2 linked regions of the Xenopus tropicalis genome follow. The protein of the gene in region 2 purifies or fractionates together with the protein of the main gene of each other region. This does not show direct contact. Links are inferred from orthologs where the notes say so. Each region holds a gene or a part of one and is shown on either strand. Other genes may lie near its edges.

The links.
Region 1: the proteins of blnk (region 2) and syk purify together in Homo sapiens (affinity purification with western blotting; 3 studies listed by BioGRID and IntAct, with this or other methods). This does not show direct contact. The link is inferred for Xenopus tropicalis from reciprocal best matches to the Homo sapiens genes BLNK and SYK.

Annotation. Positions count from the first base shown.
Region 1 is NC_030677.2:138,460,739-138,471,626, reverse strand, and holds part of syk (tyrosine-protein kinase SYK), read right to left. Parts: intron 10,868-10,888; coding exon 10,729-10,867; intron 8,259-10,728; coding exon 8,177-8,258; intron 6,169-8,176; coding exon 6,113-6,168; intron 5,087-6,112; coding exon 5,018-5,086; intron 2,180-5,017; coding exon 2,098-2,179; intron 1-2,097. UniProt on the Homo sapiens protein: Non-receptor tyrosine kinase which mediates signal transduction downstream of a variety of transmembrane receptors including classical immunoreceptors like the B-cell receptor (BCR).
Region 2 is NC_030683.2:26,108,219-26,119,206, forward strand, and holds the start of blnk (B-cell linker protein), read right to left. Parts: upstream 7,500-10,988; 5' UTR 7,406-7,499; coding exon 7,359-7,405; intron 1-7,358. UniProt on the Homo sapiens protein: Functions as a central linker protein, downstream of the B-cell receptor (BCR), bridging the SYK kinase to a multitude of signaling pathways and regulating biological outcomes of B-cell function and development.

The sequences.
Region 1 (10,888 bases), on a different chromosome or scaffold from region 2:
GGTGGGCCAGTCCGACACTGAATATATCTTGTCAATTCACTTCACCCTATGAGGTTATCAGTTGTGAGAAGTTCCCTGAGACTAATACAGGCAAAGAGATAGCAAGACCAGAAATTCTTGACTTCCTAAGAATTAAAATTTAAATGAAATCAGGCAGTCAGGTCACCTAGTAAATCCAAAATTGAAAACTTAAGCACAGACCAACTAAACTGTTAACAAATTGTTTTAAAACTAACATGGATACATTTAAAAAGTACTTAAGACCACACCCCTTTGAATGTATGTCTTGTAACAGTGCTGTCTAACATCTGTGGTACCGAGGGACAGAATTTTTCTGGCCTACACAGCAGAGGGTGAAAAATGGAGGCCAGTTTTGACCACACCCACTTTAAACCACAGCCATGTTACCACTAAAGTTTTTAAGACCATACTCACATTAATGGTGGTAGTGCATCCATCACTCATATGTAAAATAAGTTTATTATGTCATATTAGGACATACCCTTAAGTTCATATGTCTCCTCCTCCCCTGTCGGTAGCACAGCAACCCCCCAGCACATAATTACATACCTTAGGGTTCCCCTAACAACTATTTACAAAGGCAAACAAACTCCCAGAAAAAACCCCTGCCAGGTTCACCACCAACAGGCAGCATAGGGCAGGCAGAGTATGGCACACAGGCAGCATAGGGCAAGCAGAGTATGGCACGCACAGACAGGGTAGGGCAGGCAGAGTATGGCACAAACAGACAGAGTAGGGCAGGCAGAGTATGGCACAAACAGGCAGCATAGGGCAGGCAGAGTATGACGCACAGGCAGCATAGGGCACGCAGAGTATGGCGCACACAAACAGCATAGGGCAGGCAGAGAATGGCACACACAGGCAGCACAGGGCAGGGCAGGCAGAGTATGGCACATACAGGCAGCATAGGGCAGACAGAGTATGGCACACACAGGCAGCATAGGGCAGGCAGAGTACAGCAGAACAGGCAGTGTAGGGAAGGAGACAGATAAACCTAGCATGATTACATAAGTAATTGATCATGAACAATCCAAGATAAACAGTTGTCGGCACTGCTCCTACAGGAGGTGTAAACAGGTGATCAATGCAGGTGCCTACAGTTTGCAGTCTTACAGGTCTGAACAATGCAGGACCTTACAGATGTGAACAATGCAGTTGATTACAGCCTGAATCTGAGATGTGAACAATGCCAGTTAATCTCAGTGTTGATACAATTTAAAGCTTAAACAGGCACACAAGTGGGGGGTCAAGGGCCAGATGTGGCCCGCAGACCACTAGTTGGACAGCAATGCCTTATAACAAAAAACTGCTAAATGCAAATGCCCTTACATTTAATTTTCTCTATGTACACAACAAAGGAAACCAAAAGAAAAAACTAGAGTGCGTGAAGTTTCAGCAATTAAAGCAGATAATTATGTTTTTAAGAACCAATGCCACCTATCAAGATCTGATAACAGAGTGTATACTGTATGTAACACTTTTGCAATACTGTAATACGTGCCCCCCACAAATGGGCTATATTCATCCATATTTTATGTGAATGTTGTATAATTTTGTATTACCATAATAGATATGACATGTATTTATACATGTCAAATACAAAACAAATGGATACAATATGAAAATTTTTTTCAGCTAAAAGTCACTTACAGGGAGGTGCCCATTCTGATATTTAGGTTTCTTTACTAGTGATGAGCGAATCTGTGCCATTTTGCTGAAAAATGTACAAAAGGTTTTTTTTTGATGTGTCTTTATTTTTTGACACACGCGGCTTTTTTTTGTTGCACAGCAAATTTTTGCGCCCGTTTCATGAAAGAATCCGCCAGTGGTGAAACGGACGTAAAAATTTGCTGTGCAACAAAAAAAGCTACGTGTGTCAAGAAATTTTTTGTGCCCGCTTCACCATTGGCGGATTTTTTCATGAAACAGGCGCAATAATTTGCAACAGAAAAAGTTTGCTGTGTGACAAAAAAATGACACACATCGAAAACACTTTGCTCATCACTATTCTTTAGAATATGCCTGGTGCAGCTTCAAATCTGACATTTTGTTGTAAATGTGTTAAATGAAACTTACCTGCATTTGGCCTATGTACATAAGTATTTATTGATGTAGAACTTCCGTGCCGCCTGGGAGCCCCTGCAGTACTCAGTGTCATCTAAATATGTAAAGAAAATAGATCTGTGTTAAATATGACCATAGTGTTTTTAAAAAGTTAAGTATAAATTAAATTATCATGGCAAGATGAAAATCAAGCTGTCTTTATAGAAAAAAATGTCAGTAGTGTGTATATAATAGCATGTTCCAAATGATCTTGTTTAACTTGCCATGACACCTATGCTCATTTTTGTTGTACTTACAACTTCAAATTACGATTCTTTACATACAAATTTGACAAAATACATTTTATTTTTTTTCTTTACAGTTCATTATGGCACATTGATAGTAAGGGTCATTCTCTAACACTGGTGCAAATGTACACTGCTGCAGTAACCAGTAACAATCAGACTTTTGCATTCATAATTGTAACTGCACTAAACAGACCAAAGCTGACTGGTTGCTATAGTTGCCGATTAGTTAAGGGCACTTGCATTGTTTTCATTTTCAAATAAGCCTTAGTGCACATTTGGTTCATAAACTATTTTACTATAAATACTATATAACTAACCAGTCACTTGGTCCACACATTGGGACATATTTACTAAAACTTGCCTAGTTATATTATAAATACATTGGCATAATTACACAACGTATTTTTGCCCCTGATAGTTCTGCACATTACATTTGCAGTGTTGCAGAAAAAAACTTTGTTGAAGATAGACAAGCTGTATTTTTGCATCTTAGTAAATATTACCCATTGTTTCCCTTGCAGGGAATTTGACACTCGCAAAAGAAAAAAAAACTGTAAATAAAAAGGAGCCAGTGTCCAACTGGCCAACCTGGGCACCAGCAAATTAGAAACCTTAGGACAAGAGACCACATTCCAATAGGTTTTTCTGCTGCTCTTCACTTACTTTTGTACCACACTGTCTTGTCAATACATTCTATGATTTCTGCCCTTAATTTATCTCTCCCTTCACCCCTTGGTCCCTTATTCCCCGTTCTAAACCCATCTGATATTTTTCTCCTATTTTCTTCTTTCCCTTAGGGTGTTGTCTACTACTTTATCATTCCTCTCTTCAATCTATTCTATTCTCTCTCATGCAGAAATGGCCATGGTACTAACATAGAGGCCAATTAGGTGGTTGAGTAGAAGGCCATTCTGGTTCCAAAGCTCACCACAAATGAAAATCTCTTTAATAAGAACCTGGATTCTATCTGTTAGTTAATCTGGGAAAAGCCCACTTCATTCTTTTTTTAGCACACATGGAGCTTTTGTTAAGCCAGACAAATACCAGAAAAAAAATATTATACATATCATTCTTATTTCTGGAATTTATAGACTAAAGAGCCCTCCCAACAATTAAAATCTTCCTTATATATTATGATTCTGTGGTGTCAATTATGTGGTAACATCTCTGTCACTGACCGCAATCACTGACACCACATCAATATACTGCACATATTTTATGACACATGATACATTTGTGATAATATACATGATTTCCCTTTTTTCCAAATTTTTTGATGTCAACTTGTTTTGTGTTATTTTCAAACCACACTAGGGGCCAAAAGCAGAGTGTTAAGAGCAGAGATGTCAAATGCGTGCCCTTCAAATGTCATTAACAACAAATCCCAGCATCTTCAGTAGGTCAGCTGGTAGTTGAGTCTATAGCAGGTGGAGGGCAGAAACCGACATCAATGGTTAATGTAATTTTAGCAGCTTACCACACAGTTAGTAATATTAAAGCAGCACTGCTGGCTCATAAATAAACAAACAAGATGTTTGTAGCAGTTTTCAAGCGGATGAAGAAGTGGCTAAATGAATGTGAAGGGAGAAATATATAATTTCTGCAACTGAATTATGTGTAGGCTGCAGTTAAAATGGCATAATATAATTATTTCATATTTTCTCTGGAAGTCCCCACCCAAAACCAATGATTAGGGGAAACAGTGACTTCAGATTTGTTTGGGTTCCCTTAACAACCATATTAAACATAATGGAACTCAGGACAGCGATGGCATCATGTTTACAAGCTTCTCAGAGAAAGCATTGGTGCATACAATGCCTAGAACAGCTGTTGGCTGCAGACATCTATAGTGTATGGCAGTTAGACTGCCTAAGGCACAAGCTATAATAAGCATGGGCATGATTCATACTGGCGGATGGACTTGTTCCCTCTATCTATTGTCCCCCATAGACAGTTCCATATTGGGAAGTGACTGCCAACAGTTCTTGGCATTTTGAGAACTGCAGTTTTTACTGTGAAGATGACAGCATTTCCCTTCAGAGGATAATTGTTATTTTAATTTTTAATTTTAAGAATGTAAAAATCTGAACTTAACCAACAACTACAAAACTACTGCATTACTGTCTTTAGTGAGGTGGGGCAGGGGCAATTGCCCTGGGCCTCATACATAGTAGGGCCTCATAAGCAGTGGTTTTAGGTAGGAAATACACCACGGTATAATTTATAGAAGAGAAGGTAGTGCAACACTGAATGTAATAGTAGGAACAATACATTCTGGGAAGAAACAGTGAGACTGTAGGACAGCAGATATAGTAAAGCAACATGGTGACAGTAACACTTATCAGTGTTATTTAGACTTCATTTGTTCTGAAATACAAAAGCAAGGACCCACTGACATCAGTCAAGTGATTCTGGGAAAAGTATTTCAGCAATGGATCCGGGGATTTAAGTTACACAGATATAGTCCTACGTCTTATAACGCTCCCACAAAAACTGCTCTGCCCTGGGCCCCCACCACTAAAGACAGCCTTGGCAGAACTAAATAATGCAGAAATCCGCAATGCTGCTTTAATGTAAATAAGCTGAGTCATTAATTTAGCGCCTGTCTATATTTTGGAAAGCCTTAGATAGTGTGTACAGAGCACCTTTTTGTTGCCAGGCTTGGGGAAGGAGTAGGATTTGAATCTCGAGATAATTCCACCTGCTGACCAACTCTAGAAACCACAATGGCAGAGAGGAACATTAAACATGCTGCCAGAAAAAAAACATTTTTTTTTTACAATTTGAAAATGAAAATTCTCTCTGGGGGGCAGTAATAACAAAACTGAAGTTAGGGTCACTGCCAACAATTTTCATGCATTATATGGCTTTGCATAAGATGTTTACTTTTTATCTAAACTTTCAAAACATACATTCTCTATTACTTTCAAAGAGTATAGTATTTTTATTCAAGTGCATTTACTGTCTCTCTGTCCAGCTTTCAGGTACTGTACATGTATTATCCAAGGTTCCACTGAATACAAAGTCACACAGCATTAAGCTGCTTGGTAATGCTCTTCCTTTCAACCCTGTCTTTTCCATTTGTTAACCCAACAGACCACAAGCACCCAGTCTATACCTTACAGTGTGGATTCTTTAAAATTAATGGAAATAAACACCCATGTGGATCAGATACACAGGGCTTGTATTGAAAATGTGATCCTTAGACAATTTTTTTTTATATGTAATGATTATCTTCACCTGTACTGAAAAAAACTATAAATTATTTCATTAACTAGGTGGCATGAATTATTGGCATAAGCCCTTTATGTTGAATGCTCCTCACACCCCCCCCCCCTTTAAATTATAAAGCTATAAATTATTTGGTTAAATAGGTGGCAAGCATTATTGGCATAAGCCCTTTATATTGAAATTATGTTGAATGCTCCTCACCATCCCACCACCCCCATTATAATCTGACATAGCCTGTGATTGGGCATTTGGATTACTTTCTGGCACCTACATTAGATTTATGGTTAAAGCAAAGTTTGCCTTGATGGCATCTTTCTCAAAATAGCATCTGCCTTCTTACTGCTAATGAAGGAAACATAGGTTTGACTAATTTGCTTCGTATAATGAAACTTTTAGCATTCTAGTAGTTGCAATACACAAGTCTATAGTACTTGGATGGCACTTACCAGCAGAGAATGGCCTTTGTGATGTTGTAATGAACAAATTGATGTTATGCATGCATTACTTACCATTTGATGTTGGGTAGGAGGTGCTGGACATGGTGCACGTTTAAATATAAAGCTTTCTATAACAGAATGAAGACATTTAATTAGATTTCATGGACTATTCTACATAGTTAAAGCAAAAAAAAAAAAAAATGAACAAATAGACTGTGTTACAAACCTGTGCTCAAATTGGGGAAAAAGGATATATAAGCATTTTTTTTTAAATTTGGTTATTTGTTATATGATTATTGCAAAATGCCTATGCTGCTCCAATAGCTTTAACATAATGATGTAAAATATGTGTAATTCTAATTTCATTGTATTCTGTGGTGAAAGGTTGATTGCACTGGGTTGTGATCCCCACCATCTCATGCCCTCATTTCTAAACATCTATAGAATTAGAGGCAGCAAATCATATTTGATCTCAAGAAGAAAATAGAGTTTGCTACTAAATGTCATCATATAAAATCCATATATACCATATTGCAGATATAAGTGGCTCCACTATGCCTGAATATTTCTGTTTGCTAATGTCAGAGAAAAGTCCAGATTCCAAAGTGGAGAGCTGCTGAACAGCAACATAATAGCAGGAATGCCTTGTGCAGGGCTCTCCAACTGTAATCTTTATCTCCTGGTAACGCTGGGAGTTGTAATTTAGGGACAATCTGACATTCACTAGCCGGACAATACTGCTTTATAGAGATACATGGACATCTTTTCAAGATCATAATCAGCAAAATCTGTTTTTCCTAGAGCCAGATTTGTAGTAGGAGTTAAAGCTGACAAACCTTTTGGCTTCATCTACGAAAATACAGTTCATTTTGAGAAGTCTGTGACAATTTGTCCTGCTCATTTTTCTTGCTGCTTTGATCATTCTTAATTAGGCGTTATAAAAAGACCAGAGAGATAGAAACATGTGCATAGCTATGTAAAATCAGATCATGAGTGTCAGGCTTAAGGTGCTATACATAGAATCCTTGTACTCCATTAGTATAGAGCTGTTGGAGAACATTACTGAATTCTGTAGGCCAGAGGTTTTAACATCACCCCCTGTTTTATCCAAAATTGAGTCATTATTCACATTGCCTTATAAAAGCTACAAATATATGAAAATGTAGTTTTGTAATAAAAGAATTTGCCTCTATCTATGTACAATGACACATAAATATATGCTTCTAATGAAACTACTTACCAGACCACTGACAACGCAGAAAAAGACATGAAATACATTTAAGACATGAAATAGAAGTACAGGTATCGGACCCCTTATCCAGAAACCCATTATCCAGAAAGTTCCGAATTACGGAAAGGCCATCTCCCATAGACTCCATTTTTATGAAATAATTCACATTTTTAAAAATGGTTTCCTTTTTCTCTGTTATAATAACCTTGTACTTGATCCCAACTAAGATATAATTAATCCTTATTGGAACCAAAACAATCCTATTGGATCTAATTCCCATTTAAATAATTTTTTTTAGTAGACTTAAGGTAGGAGATGTGAATTACGGACGGACCCCTATCCGGAATACCCCAGGTCCCGAGCATTCTGGACAACGGATCCCTTACCTGTACTTAATATTTAAATCAATGGAGTATTCAAATAGCATTGATAAAGACCAATAACCATGGTAATGTAATCAATTAAAATATCTAGTAGGTAAGAGGAATGCATTCATCTATGTATCTGTCTGTCTGTCTATCTACCCAAAATATTTCTGCTTATAAAAACAGAGTATATTATAAAGCGCTAGAGGTGTGGGATTAATAAATTGCTGGTAATTTATTTATGGGGTTTGGGGGATCTATGCACAATGACACATAAAAGAAAACACATTTCTAGTAAAACTTCTTACCAGACCCCTGATAATGCAGAAAAAGACAAGAAATAACTTATAAGAAGGGAAAAAGAAGCACTTATTACTTAAATCAATAGAGTATTCAAATAGCATTCAAATAACAATCCTAATTGAATTATTAAAAATATATAGGAGATAAGAGGAATGCATCTATAATAATAATATTATATCTATCTATCTATTTATCAAAAGTGCTCCTAGAATACAGAGTATATTAGAAAGTGCTAACCACTGTGTCCAGTTGCTCGGGGGCATGGTTCTGTAAGAACCCGCAGAAGTCCATCAGGTTTGTAGGAATAATGTTCAACCAGCTGCAATACAAACAGGGGAAAGCAATTGTTACTGAATTATGTAGAAGTTTAAATTATACAGTAAACTACTGTGCTTAAAGGACACATAAAGCTTAATAAAGAGTTGTTCTTATATTAAATGCCAAACAAATTTATTTTTTAATTCACACCTTGGTTAGGCAATTTTGTAATCCCAGCAACCAAATGCTAGAGAGAGGCTTGTTAGAAAAATTACATAAGGTACATAATATTAGTAATAGGTGAGAAAAGCGTTAGTGAGAAAAATTAGATAAAAAATCATATAAAACTAAACTTTATATCTAAAGATGTCCACTAGAAGGCGCTCCAGGTAAGACTAATAAAACAACTTCCTAAAACGCATGACAAACATGTCAAATAAAGAAGTATTTGTAAAGTGTAAATCTATTTTAATAGTAACCCTTCACAAGGCTGGCACAAACAGGCTTGCTTTTATATTGTATGGGTACCCAAATATGATCTGATATGCTATTTACTATATTTAAACAGGTTCTACCAACTGTAACATTTTGTCTGATGGTTTATAAAAGCATATTTCATCTGTGCTACACACTAATTCACCCTCCCCATCGGCATTATGTTGTTACTTGATGCAGTGGCAGCTTTAGCTTTCTCCTCCAGAATTAGGCATGACACAACCAGCCTTCTAGCTGTGGGAAATAATATGGGCATAGACATGGATGGCAAATATTCTTAAGAAATGGATAGCTAAGGGCCATTACCTCTCTAAAGCAGACAGGTGCGGCAGGCCAGAAATAAGTGAAGTAAGTAGCCTGCAGTATAGCGGCCTGGTGTAGTTACAGAGTGACTGAACTGGGGATGCACAGAATCTGGATTTGGCTGATTGTTTGTGTTTTTTTGCAGAATTCAGAGTCAGCTGAAGCCGAAGGGTTTAGTGAAACCATATCAGACCCCCAGCTCTGGACAACTGAGCTGACAATGTTTTGTTCAAATTCAGTGCAATGTTTCTATTTCTCTCAAAATAGGATATGCAAATGTTCTCATCTTTTGCAGAGTATTCTATATCTGGCTAAATGCAAACATGATGGATATGGTGAATACATAGACTAAACCAGCAACTGTAGTAACTAATCATGCATGCATGTGATAAGAGGTGTATATTGTGCTAAATTGTTAGCCGTGGATTGTCTCCTAGCCACCTAAATATTGTTTTGTTTCTACAGGACTCTCTGCTACATGGCTTGGAAACAATAGTCCCACAGATGTATGGCTAGAACAATAATTCTTTATCTGACAGGGTAATGTATTTATTTACCTGCCAGTATTAACTGCCAGCTGGCATATATTGTTGTACGAGTATGTTGAAAGGGTTGTTCACCTTTACATTAACTTTTGGTATGATGCAAAGAGTGCTATTCTGAGACAATTTGAATTGGTCTTCATTTTTTATTGTGGGTTTTGAATCATTTAGCTTTTTGTTGAGCAGCTCTCCAGTTTGCTATTTCACATGCTATCTGGTTGCTAGGGGCCAATTTAAAGGAACAGTTCAGTGTAAAAATGAAACTGGGTAAAATGGATAGACTGCACAAAATTAAAAACATTTGTTTTACAGTTAGTTAGGCAAAAATGTAATCTATAAAGGCTGGAGTGAACAGATGTTTAACACAATAGCCAGAACTCTACTTCCTGCTTTCATCTCTCTAACCTCTTAGTTAGTAAGTGACTCTGGGGAGGGGGGGCACATGGGACTGTTCAGTTAGTTTGTGAGCATGCAGGTCAGATTCAAATGTAAACTAACTGAACAGTTATGTCTAGTGGTGAGCGAATCTGTCCCGTTTATGAAATTCACAAAACGACAAGAAAGTTCGCAAAATGGCGAAACACAAAGTTTTTTGATGCATGACTAATTTTTCCACTGCAAATTTTCATGGAAGTTTCGCTAAACAATTCGCCAATGTCAAAATGCGGAATTTCGCTGCAAATCCATGCCTGCCGAAAAAATTAGCTCTTCACTAGTTATGTCCCATATGGCCCAAGTACCAATAACAATAAAACTGTAGCCTCACTGAGGAATAGTTTTTTGACTGCTGGGGTCAGTGACCCCCACTTAATAGCTGGAAATAGTCGGAAAAAGACAAATAATTTAAAATCTATAAAAAATCAATAATAATGACTAATTGGAAAGTTGCTAAGAATAGGTCATTCTATAACATACCAAAATTTAACCTTTAATAATTTCAGCAAAGCTGTGGCTGTTATTCCATCCAGTTGCATGGGTGTCTTATCATTTTTATAAGTTGAGGCGACTACATTGTAGGTCTGCGCTAATCTGGCCTTTGAGCAGCCATGGGGCTATGTGCAAAGTACATGTGTTTTGTTTATAAGTGTTTGAGTGGAAAAAGCTTTAAAGCGGCCACACACTACCTGATTCCCATGGGAAATGATAGTTCAGCCAACAGGCAAACTCTTAGGTAATGACCATTTCTTTTACCTGCCAGAGAGTATCAAATTTCTTCCCATCTGGTATGGATAACTTTCCAGTTTTGTCTCGGTCAATACGGTAATGAGAAATCTTTCTGTCGTGTAGCAGACATAGGGCATATGATCCATTATCATCTCGTTCTCTTATTCTAAAGGATTAAAAAAAAATT
Region 2 (10,988 bases):
GGAGACAAACATCACTGGTGATGCTGACCATAGTAACCAATCAGCAATTAGATTTGAACAGTCACCTACACGTTAGAAAACAAAAGATCTGATTGGTTGGTATGGGCAACATCACCGGTGATGTTTGTGATAGGGCTGAGTGGGTTTCAAAGGTAAAAGTTACAATTTGCCACAAAAAGACAGATTGACATTACTTAATGGAAACAGGACAATATGAGTGAGTTTGTGCCTGTACAAGGCCTTCATCTGCTAGTGTAGTTTCCACTGCTTCTTCTGAAAGACTATTTCTAGGCATCCACAACAAAAGGAAATTAAGAAGTAATAAAATACACTACATTTGTACAGATACAGTAACCCATAGCAACCAATAAGTTGATTGCTTTTAAACAGATGACCAGTAAATGCTACCTGCTGATTGGTCTCTATAGGCAACTAGACCCATTTCAAATTTGCACCATTTATTACATAACCCCAGTGGTAAATGCTGTGTTTGTTGGGTTCCGGTAGCAGTGAAATCACAACCCTCCAGTTTATAGAGTATCACTCTCGTTACATAACTGCATGTGAGTTGAATGGAATTTAAAATGATTAAAAAAAATGTCTACCCAAATATGAGCAGTTGTATGTGGCTTCATAGACATGAAAGGGTACACCACTTGTGTCGCTTAGATCAAACCCTAGTACATTAAAACTCCCAGGGGCAGATTCAGTGAACCTTGAACTGTCATCAAGCAATGGGAACAGCTCTGTGAGTCTCTCTGGCACAGGCCCAGCATGCCATGGCACAGTGCTTCAAGACTCCCAGCATTTCATGGAACAGTGACCCCAGCAATATATGATACAGTGGCCCCAGCGGTTCAAGATAGTGACCCCAGAATATTGTGGCAGATGACAGTGACTCCAACATTTCATTCTACAATGGTCCCCAGTGCCCCTCCACTGCATGGAACAAAGGCCCCATTTTTTTTTAATGACACATTGGCTCCAGCATTTCATAAGAACATTTCTCCAGCATTTCATGACACAGGCACCCCAGCTCTTAATGGCACAATAAAGCTAGCATTTCATGGAACAGCGACCCCAGCGTTTCATGATATAGTAAGTGGCCCCAGCATTTTATAGCACAAAGAATTTCCTCTTTCTCTTCTTTTTATTCCCTTTCCCTTATATATGATCTTTGGGGGGGTGCAATACAGTCGCTTCACCAATTCTATATATATATCCTGTATATATTTGCACAAATAAAAAGGGGTTATATATACAGGTATGCGAGCCATTATCCAGAATGCTCGGGACCCTGGGTTTTCCGGATAAGGGGTCTTTCCGTAATTCGGATCCCCTACCTTAAGTCTACTAAAAAAGTTATTTAAACAGTAATTAAACCCAACAGGATTGTTTTTGCTCCAATAAGGATTCATTATATCTTAGTTTAGATCAAATACAGTGGCTTGCAAAAGTATTCGGCCCCCTTGAACTTTTCCACATTTTGTCACATTACAGCCACAAACATGAATCAATTTTATTGGAATAAACGTGTACACGTGTACACGTGAGAAGTGGAACGAAAATCGTACATGATTCCAAACATTTTTTACAAATAAATAACTGCAAAGTGGGGTGTGCGTAATTATTCAGGCCCGCTTTGGTCTGAGTGCAGTCAGTTGCCCATAGACATTGCCTGATGAGTGCTAATGACTAAATAGAGTGCACCTGTGTGTAATCTAATGTCAGTACAAATACAGCTGCTCTGTGACGGCCTCAGAGGTTGTCTAAGAGAATATTGGGAGCAACAACACCATGAAGTCCAAAGAACACACCAGACAGGTCAGGGATAAAGTTATTGAGAAATTTAAAGCAGGTTTAGGCTACAAAAAGATTTCCAAAGCCTTGAACATTCCATGGAGCACTGTTCAAGCGATCATTCAGAAATGGAAGGAGTATGGCACAACTGTAAACCTACCGAGACAAGGCCGTCCACCTAAACTCACAGGCCGAACAAGGAGAGCACTGATCAGAAATGCAGCCAAGAGGCCCATGGTGACTCTGGGGGAGCTGCAGAGATCTACAGCTCAGGTGGGGGAATCTGTCCATAGGACAACTATTAGTCGTGCACTGCACAAAGTTGGCCTTTATGGAAGAGTGGCAAGAAGAAAGCCATTGTTAACAGAAAACCATAAGAAGTCCCGTTTGCAGTTTGCCACAAGCCATGTGGGGGACACAGCAAACATGTGGAAGAAGGTGCTCTGGTCAGATGAGACCAAAATGGAACTTTTTGGCCAAAATGCAAAACGCTATGTGTGGCGGAAAACTAACACTGCACATCACTCTGAACACACCATCCCCACTGTCACATATGGTGGTGGCAGCATCATGCTCTGGGGGGGGGGGCTTCTCTTCAGCAGGGACAGGGAAGCTGCTCAGAGTTGATGGGAAGATGGATGGAGCCAAATACAGGGCAATCTTGGGAGAAAACCTCTTGGAGTCTGCAAAAGACTTGAGACTGGGGCGGAGGTTCACCTTCCAGCAGGACAACGACCCTAAACATAAAGCCAGGGCAACAATGGAATGGTTTAAAACAAAACATATCCATGTGTTAGAATGGCCCAGTCACAGTCCAGATCTAAATCCAATGGAGAATCTGTGGCAAGATCTGAAAACTGCTGTTCCCAAACGCTGTCCATCTAATCTGACTGAGCTGGAGTTGTTTTGCAAAGAAGAATGGGCAAGGATTTCAGTCTGTAGATGTGCAAAGCTGGTAGAGACATACCCTAAAAGCCTGGCAGCTGTAATTGCAGCAAAAGGTGGTTCTACAAAGTATTGACTCAGGGGGCTGAATAATTACGCACACCCCACTTTGCAGTTATTTGTAAAAAATGTTTGGAATCATGTATGATTTTCGTTCCACTTCTCACGTGTACACCACTTTGTATTGGTCTTTCACGTGGAATTCCAATAAAATTGATTCATGTTTGTGGCTGTAATGTGACAAAATGTGGAAACGTTCAAGGGGGCCGAATACTTTTGCAAGCCACTGTACAAGGTACTGTTTTATTATTACAAAGAAAAAGGAAACCATTTTTAAAAATGTGAATTATTTGATTACAATGGAGTCTATGGGAGATGGCCTTTCTGTAATTCTGAACTTTCTGGATAAGGGGTCCAATACCTGTATATTTTTTTTATATATGAAACTGGGGAGGTGACTGTATTGCACCCCCCATCCCCCAAGATCACGGTCCTGGGGCAGCCACCGGAATCTATTATAATCCATCACTAAATACTCCTTACCCTACAGATGGATAATGAGATTTAGGAATTTGGCCACCCGTCTGTGCCCAAACAGTGCATACATCCAACCTGATTGTAAATGTTAAACTCTATGTGGGATGTAATCATTCAAATCATTTAATCCATACAGAAAAGCTGTCATGATTTTCTAAACTTTTCATAAATACACATTTGCAGCGCTTGTAGATTTCAGGTGGTTTATCTTGTGATGTGTGTAGTGCTAACATTACAACAAGTTAACCCCACAAAATGAGTTCATAAAAACCTTTCCTTATTGTAAAATTTGCGATATTATCAAGGAACCTTTTAAAAAACACACACAAACCTATTATATATATATACTGGCATTTCAGAGTTACAATGCAGCATGGAATATTGAGCACAATTCACAAAATTGATGTAAATATTACTCCTGTGCAGTAACCCTGAGCAGCCAGCCAATCAGAAGTTTGCTATAACAGTCTTTAACATTACATTAGAGGGGATTATAGGCAGATGGGGGATTTTATTTTTCCCATAAAAACGATCAGCACACCAGAGGCCCCCCCTTTAGATTAGAGGAACGGAGCTTCCATTTGAAGCAGGTTTTTCACGGTGAGGGCAGTGAGGTTGGGGAATATAGAGAGGCAAACCTGTATGGCTTATGGGAAGTAGGTTAACTGGTTCTACCTATTAAAAAGGTGAAGTGGGTGCTGAAAACATTGCAGAGCATATCCCAATTTCCCAGCATGCTGCTCACTCTTATTAAGAGAAAAAGGATGGTAGAGGGAGGTAGGTAAATAGTTCAGATTGGGGCTTAAGAAAGTTTAGAAAAAATGTTTTTGGGGCCCTGAGGGTTAAAGGAACAGTAACACCAAAAAATTAAAGAGTTTTAAAGTAAAAGAAATATAATGTACTGTTGCCCTGCACTGGTAAAAGTTGTGTGTTTGCTACAGTAACACTACTTATATTATTATGGCACTTATATTGTAGTGTCACCCACTGTGACCTACAGCACTTACATTTGCCCATTTGTGTCTGTTAGTTACCCCTCCCATATAGATTGTAAGCTCTACGGGGCAGGGACCTTGTTCATCTTGTTTCTGACTCTTATTGCAACTGTACCTTGTATTTATTTGTATTTATTGTTGTACTTTGTATTTATCCATTATCTTTAACCCCCTGTTTGTATTAATGTATTCTACTGTACAGCGCTGCGTACATAAGTAGCGCTTTATAAATAAAGATATACATACATACATACATACATACTATAATTTATATAAATAAGCTGCTGTGTAGCCATGGGGGCAGCCATTCAAGCTGGAAAAAAGGAGAAAAGGCACAGGTTACATAGCAGATAACAGATAAGCTCTGTAGAATACAATAGTGTTTTATCTGTTATCTGCTAAGTGCCTGTGCCTTTTCTCCTTTGAATGGCTGCCCCCATGGCTACACAGCGGCATTCTTTATATAAATTATAGTAGTGTTTCTGAGGCAAACACTCCAGTTGCACCAGTGCAGGGCAACAGTACATTATACTGGAATTTCTTTTATACACTTTTTTTGGTGTTACTGTTCCTTTAAGGTTATCAGATCAAGTGATAAAATGACTAGAATGGGTTTCCAATCAGTGCCCTGCAGTACATCACATGCCAATGCACCACAGGAGAAACGCAAATAGGAATATTTACCTATTTTGCACAGATACAAGCAGAGGATGGTGCTTAGGGCTAATGGAGTTTCTGATCTGTTCAGAAGGGGAATCTGCTCAAACAAATTTGTGAAGTATTTGTTGATTTCTGAAATTAATTTTTGTAGACAAGACCTACATCCATTATTATTATTATTATTATTAACATTTATTTATAAAGCGCCAACATATTCCGCAGATCCTAAGCAATGATATGAAACCTGTGACCATCCCAGATGTTGCTGAACTACAACCAGAGTATGGGCTATGGGAATACACCCTTTAATTCCAATACAGCATTATAAAGAAGAAATTCAGTGCTTACTAACTTGCCCTTTAAATAGGTGCAACTAGTAAAGAAACAGCAGAGGGAGTTCTTTTCCCTTGCCCCCTGCAATCTCTGCAGCCTCACAGATCTGTTTGTTCAGACACATGGCTGTTGTCTATTTATTATGCATTTATAATGCTGGATATACTGGCTATACACACACAGTCAGTGCTATGGAGCAACAGACACGCATGTTTGTGATGTTTCTACTACTAAGGGTTCGTACTAATACTGAACCCTTAAATTCATGTAACTTTACGGTTTTAAAAAACTGAATTTAACATTTTGCAACCATTAATGCAATGACTTTTAGAATCTGAGTACAGGTATGGGATCCCTTATCCGGAAACCAGTTATCCAGAAAATTCCGAATTAGGGAAAGCCCATCTCCCATAGACACCAATATAAGCAAATAATTTTAATTTTATAAACTGATTCCCTTTTCTCTGTAAAAATAAAACAGTACCTTGTACTTGATCCCAACTAAGATATAATTACCCCTTATTGGGGGCAGAACAGCCCTATTGGGTTTATTTAATGGTTAAATGATCCCCTTTTCTCTGTAATAATAAAACAGTACCTGTACTTTATCCCAACTAAGATATAATTACCCCTTATTGGGGCAGAACAGCCCTATTGGGTTTATTTAATGGTTAAATGATTCCCTTTTCTCTGTAATAATAAAACAGTACCTGTACTTGATCCCAACTAAGATATAATTACCCCTTATTGGGGGCAGAACAGCCCTATTGGGTTTATTTAATGGTTAAATGATTCCTTTTTCTCTGTAATAATAAAACAGTACCTGTACTTGATCCCAACTAAGATATAATTACCCCTTATTGGGGGCAGAACAGCCCTATTGGGTTTATTTCATGGTTAAATGATTCCCTTTTCTCTGTAATAATAAAACAGTACCTGTACTTGATCCCAACTAAGATATAATTACCCCTTATTGGGGGCAGAACAGCCCTATTGGGTTTATTTCATGGTTAAATGATTCCCTTTTCTCTGTAATAATAAAACAGTACCTGTACTTGATCCAAACTAAGATATAATTAATCCTTATTGGAGGCAAAACAATCCTGGGTTTAATCAATATTTAAATGATTTTTAGAAGATTTAAGTTATGGAGATCCAAATTACGGAAAGATCCCTTATCTGGAAAACCCCAGGTCCTGAGCATTCTGGATAACAGGTCTCATACCTGTATACTGTTAAGAGTTCAGATTTGATTCAGGATGTGGAAATATCTTGTGTGGCGAATTAGTTACTTAACTAAACCCAAAAAATGTTGGGTTTGGTGCATCTCTACTTATTTTGCAATATGCATTGAGTTAAAAGTAAATATTGAAAATAAAATTATTTAAAAGTTAGGCTGCCTGTATCAGCTTATTAATGTTAAGTGCTGAAATGATGCATTCAGGTCATTGCTGCCGTACAAGAAGCATCCCCCATTTAAAGGGATGATGATTGGGGTTAGCCTGACTAATAATTAACCATGAGCAGTTTAGTTTGCCTTTGCCACATTGTGAATTGTTATCCAGTGAAAGTTTTAATTGATTTCACTTTGGCCTGAATGTTTGCGCCCATACAAACTGATATCAATTGCTGATCAAGTATCTAGCATTCTTGGGTTGCCGTGATGAAATACATTAAAATCGAATGTCCGTGGGTTCAAACTACACAGATTTCCGCTCAGCCCATTCACATTTCCATTCACATCCTTATTTATGAGTATTTGTGCATTATGCAGTTACATTTTTTCCAAGTAAAAGAATGAGAGGAGGAAATAACAAGATGGAGGCACATTGCAATATCTTGCGGCGCTTCTGTACACCCCCAAGCATGCTGGAAGTTATGGTTTAGTAACAGTTATTCATGAGTCGGACACCATTGCCTTATATGCAATGAGCTTGAATAAACAACCCCCAGGTACACAAGGAAGCTGAGAATATTTCAAGGTGACTTTTTTGTTACTTGTAAAATCAGAAATTTGGGGTGTAAGCCAGTGTTTCCCTCTCAGGGATAGTTCTGCTCCTTCACTGTAAACAAGAGAAAGCCCCTCACCTGAACTTGTGCCCAGCTGGAGCTGAGAGCTTATTGAATGTGTCCATGTTCCACAGGTGAGCCAGGGTCCCTGCTTGCCAGCTCCTTGTGGTGCCAGTCGCTCACAGCCTGTGAAATCCCCGCTGTCTCTGTCAGATTTCCCCTGAGTAGTGTGTGTTGGCACATAGTCATTTCGTTTGAGAAGTAAAACTTGCCTGATTACATATTCAGGTTTCGAGTTTCCTTCTCGTCACATGACCCACTCCCTGCCCATCTGGCTCCTGAATAGGCTTTTAGCAAACATTTCTCAGCTTCTACCTGTTTGGGAGTCACAACTAGCGCTGCTTTCTTCCTGCTGCTGTATGGGTTATGGGTTGCTGCTGGAATTTCCACTGAACTTTAACAATATCTCACAGTATTTGAAGATTCCAACTGCCAGCTGTCAGCTCAACTACATGTTTTCTCTCTGTGTCATCTGTGAGAGAACACTCCTGACATATGATATAGAGATTGATATTCTGAAATAATTTGCAGTTGGTCTTAATTTTTACATTTTATTTTTGTGAGGCTTTCCAGTTATTTAGCTTTTTTTTCAGCAGCTGTCCACTATCTGGTTGCTAGGGTCTTATTAACCATAGCCACCAGTCAGTGGTTTGAATAATGTGAATAGGCAAGGGAATGAATAGGAAGATAAGTAATAAAAAGTAACAATACTATTGTAGCCTCATAGGGCAATTGTTTTTTTGACTGTGGGATCAGTGATCCTCATTTGAAAACTGGAAAAGGTGTAGAAGGAAGGCAAATTATTTAAAATCTATTAGAAATAAATAATGAAGACCAACTGCAAAATTGCTAGGGCATTCTATAACATACTTAAGGCTGATGCCACACGTGGCGTTTTTACGCTGCGTTTTTTCTCAGCCTCAAAACGCCACACAAGCCACACAGCCCCTGACTATGGCGTTTTTCAGCCTAGTACTGGTGACGTAGCAAATCCCGTTTCCATGGTGCTAATAGTGCAAAATAGTAAAAAATGCCGCGTATTTCTGCTAGGTCTGGCAGCTGCCTTTGTGTATACATAGGAATAGCTTGCTGTGCAAATACTGGCATATTTCAGCCAACGCTTGAAAAATCCGTGCTAAGGCTTTTTCTAGCGTATTTCCGCATTGTGTGGTTTGGTTCGAGTCTTTTCAAGTTATTTCTATGGATGATGATATCGGGCGTTTTTCAGCCGCTGAGAAAATTTGAAAATACGCAGTGTAAAAACGCCTCGTGTGGCATCAGCCTAAAGGTGAACCACCCCTTTAAGGTGATAATGATTTTTTTAGGGCACTTATACACTGTGCATTTAATGATTGATTCCATTATATTCTGTTTGTACCCTGAGTTGACTTTTATTGCATTCATGTTTCATTTCAGTTTTTTTAAGCACAAAACCCTAAATTTTTTGCATTCAACAGAAAATAGAATAGAGGGTTGCATTTAGTAACTCACAAAAATGCACTTGATTGCATGTATGAAAATGCAATATTTGTGTTTTTAGACAGCCAGCATGGGATTTAAAAGGCATTATAATTGCCTCTGTGCTCAAGCCCTGAAAACCAAATTCCTATTCACTCCAGACAGTAACCAGAAATTGCACCACTTTATATTGTAGTTATTCTTGCTATCATTTGTGCCACCTCCTCTTATAAATTTTGCTCCTCTGTTGCCTGGTACATGGAACTACTGCCTCCAATAGTCACTCGCCCCTGCAATGTAAAAGCCAGCAAATGTGGAATATCCTTAAGTTCAGCCCCTGTCCTGCCCCCTAAAGCCCCTGATCCACCCAGAATCTAGTGGAAACCTACTCTTTTTCTCTTCCCTGATCCTCCTGGCATCACCCGTGACATCATAGCTTTTCATCATCAACCCGCCTCCTTTGTCACCACCCCGCACTGGCCGGTAACTTTCTTGTAAAAAGATGGCAACTGCAACTGTATATATTTATATGTCTTTTAGCCATGTGTAGCTGTAGTGGTTTTTATCACAGCCCTGCACAGTGCATTACACATAAGGGTAACCAGAATAAAGGGGAGGGAATACTCCTAATATGAAGTTGAAGTTGAACTGAAGAAGCTGCTCGGATGAGTAGTGAAACGTATTGAATGATTACCAAACAAGTCCAGTTGCTTTAAATTTATTTATATTAGATATACCATGACCTGAATGAATGAAAATCTTCATAGACAATACTCCTAATATTGAGATATACAGATTTCCTGTTTTCTAAAGAATTTTTGGTTAATACTGATCTGTAAATTCCCCCTGTATACAATGCATTGTGCAATGACAGAAAGCAGGCCAGTGTACAGATTAGTCATTATTCTGTATAGTAACCATGTTTGCTTATTGCTTTGCTAATAAGGAAATAACAGCCCATTGGATGCAGAGGGGGGAAAACAATGTAACACTTTTTGTCTGAAATGTAAAAATGGCCGCCCACTTTGAGTCCACTGGGAGCGACATCAAAGGGGTTAGTAACATGTTGCTCCAAACCCTGATTGGGGATCACTGGTATAGAACTATGCAGATATTAAACAGTTTGTATATGCTGAGATCCAGCTGCAAAACAGTTCTTCTCTTTCTGCATCATTTGAAATCCTGGCAGGGGAGGAGGGACTAAAACATTGATGTTATAAATTGTAAAAACTTCTCCAGAGCTTACAGAGAGCATGCAGGAACTACTTAACCCACAATGCATTGCACTGTGATGTTCTTTTCCTTATTGACATCACAGGTGCAGGGAATTGTGGGATATGGAGGATGCAGGCTGAAGGCAGGCTGAAGACAGTCGGCTACTGTTACATTTTATTTGAGTCTCAAAGTAGCCAGCCAGATCAGCAGGGGATAGGGGGTGGGGCTTAGGGAACTGTTCCAAACCATGATGCCATTTTTTATTTGTCTCAAATTTTTAATATGCAAATTAGGGTTCAGATTCAGTTTGGAATTTAGAAACATCTTCTGTGGAGGATTCAGTATTTAGTCAAATGCAAAAAAAATTAAAAATATGGAATGAATGCATTGGTGTAAACAGGCACACATTATGGGGTGAATGCCACAAAATTCTTCATCACATACCCTAGTGGTCATGTTTTGTCATATTAAAAATTAAAGGCCTGGATGGTCCAAAGAGTTATTGTGATAATGCAGAGAAGTCAGACCGGGGGGGTACAGTTTTTGCTGTGTCTCGTATTGTCTGGAAGTGACATCATTTTGCATGACTACTGCTGGAAGTGATGTCACTGCGCCAGCTCCTTCTGATGTCACTGAATGCTTACGTCATAGATACGCATACAGTCTCCAGGTGAAATCTGTAAAGGTGACATGTCTGACAATGTGCATGTACAGCAATAAAGGCTTTATTTTACATTAGAACTGACTGTGACTTCTGCTGATTGCTTCATTCCTCAAAACATCCTCTTATTGTGGGTGTAATTGCAAAGGAACAATATATTTAGAAAGAGAAAGAAGAGTCTAAGGATGATTCACTGAGCCGTCTTGTGCAATACTTGTTTTCTTATGATGCCATAAAGCTTGGCGGGGCTTTATATCATCTCAAACCTGGTGCATGTGCCTCTCCAGTAGCCAAGGGGTAATTATTTATCTTAC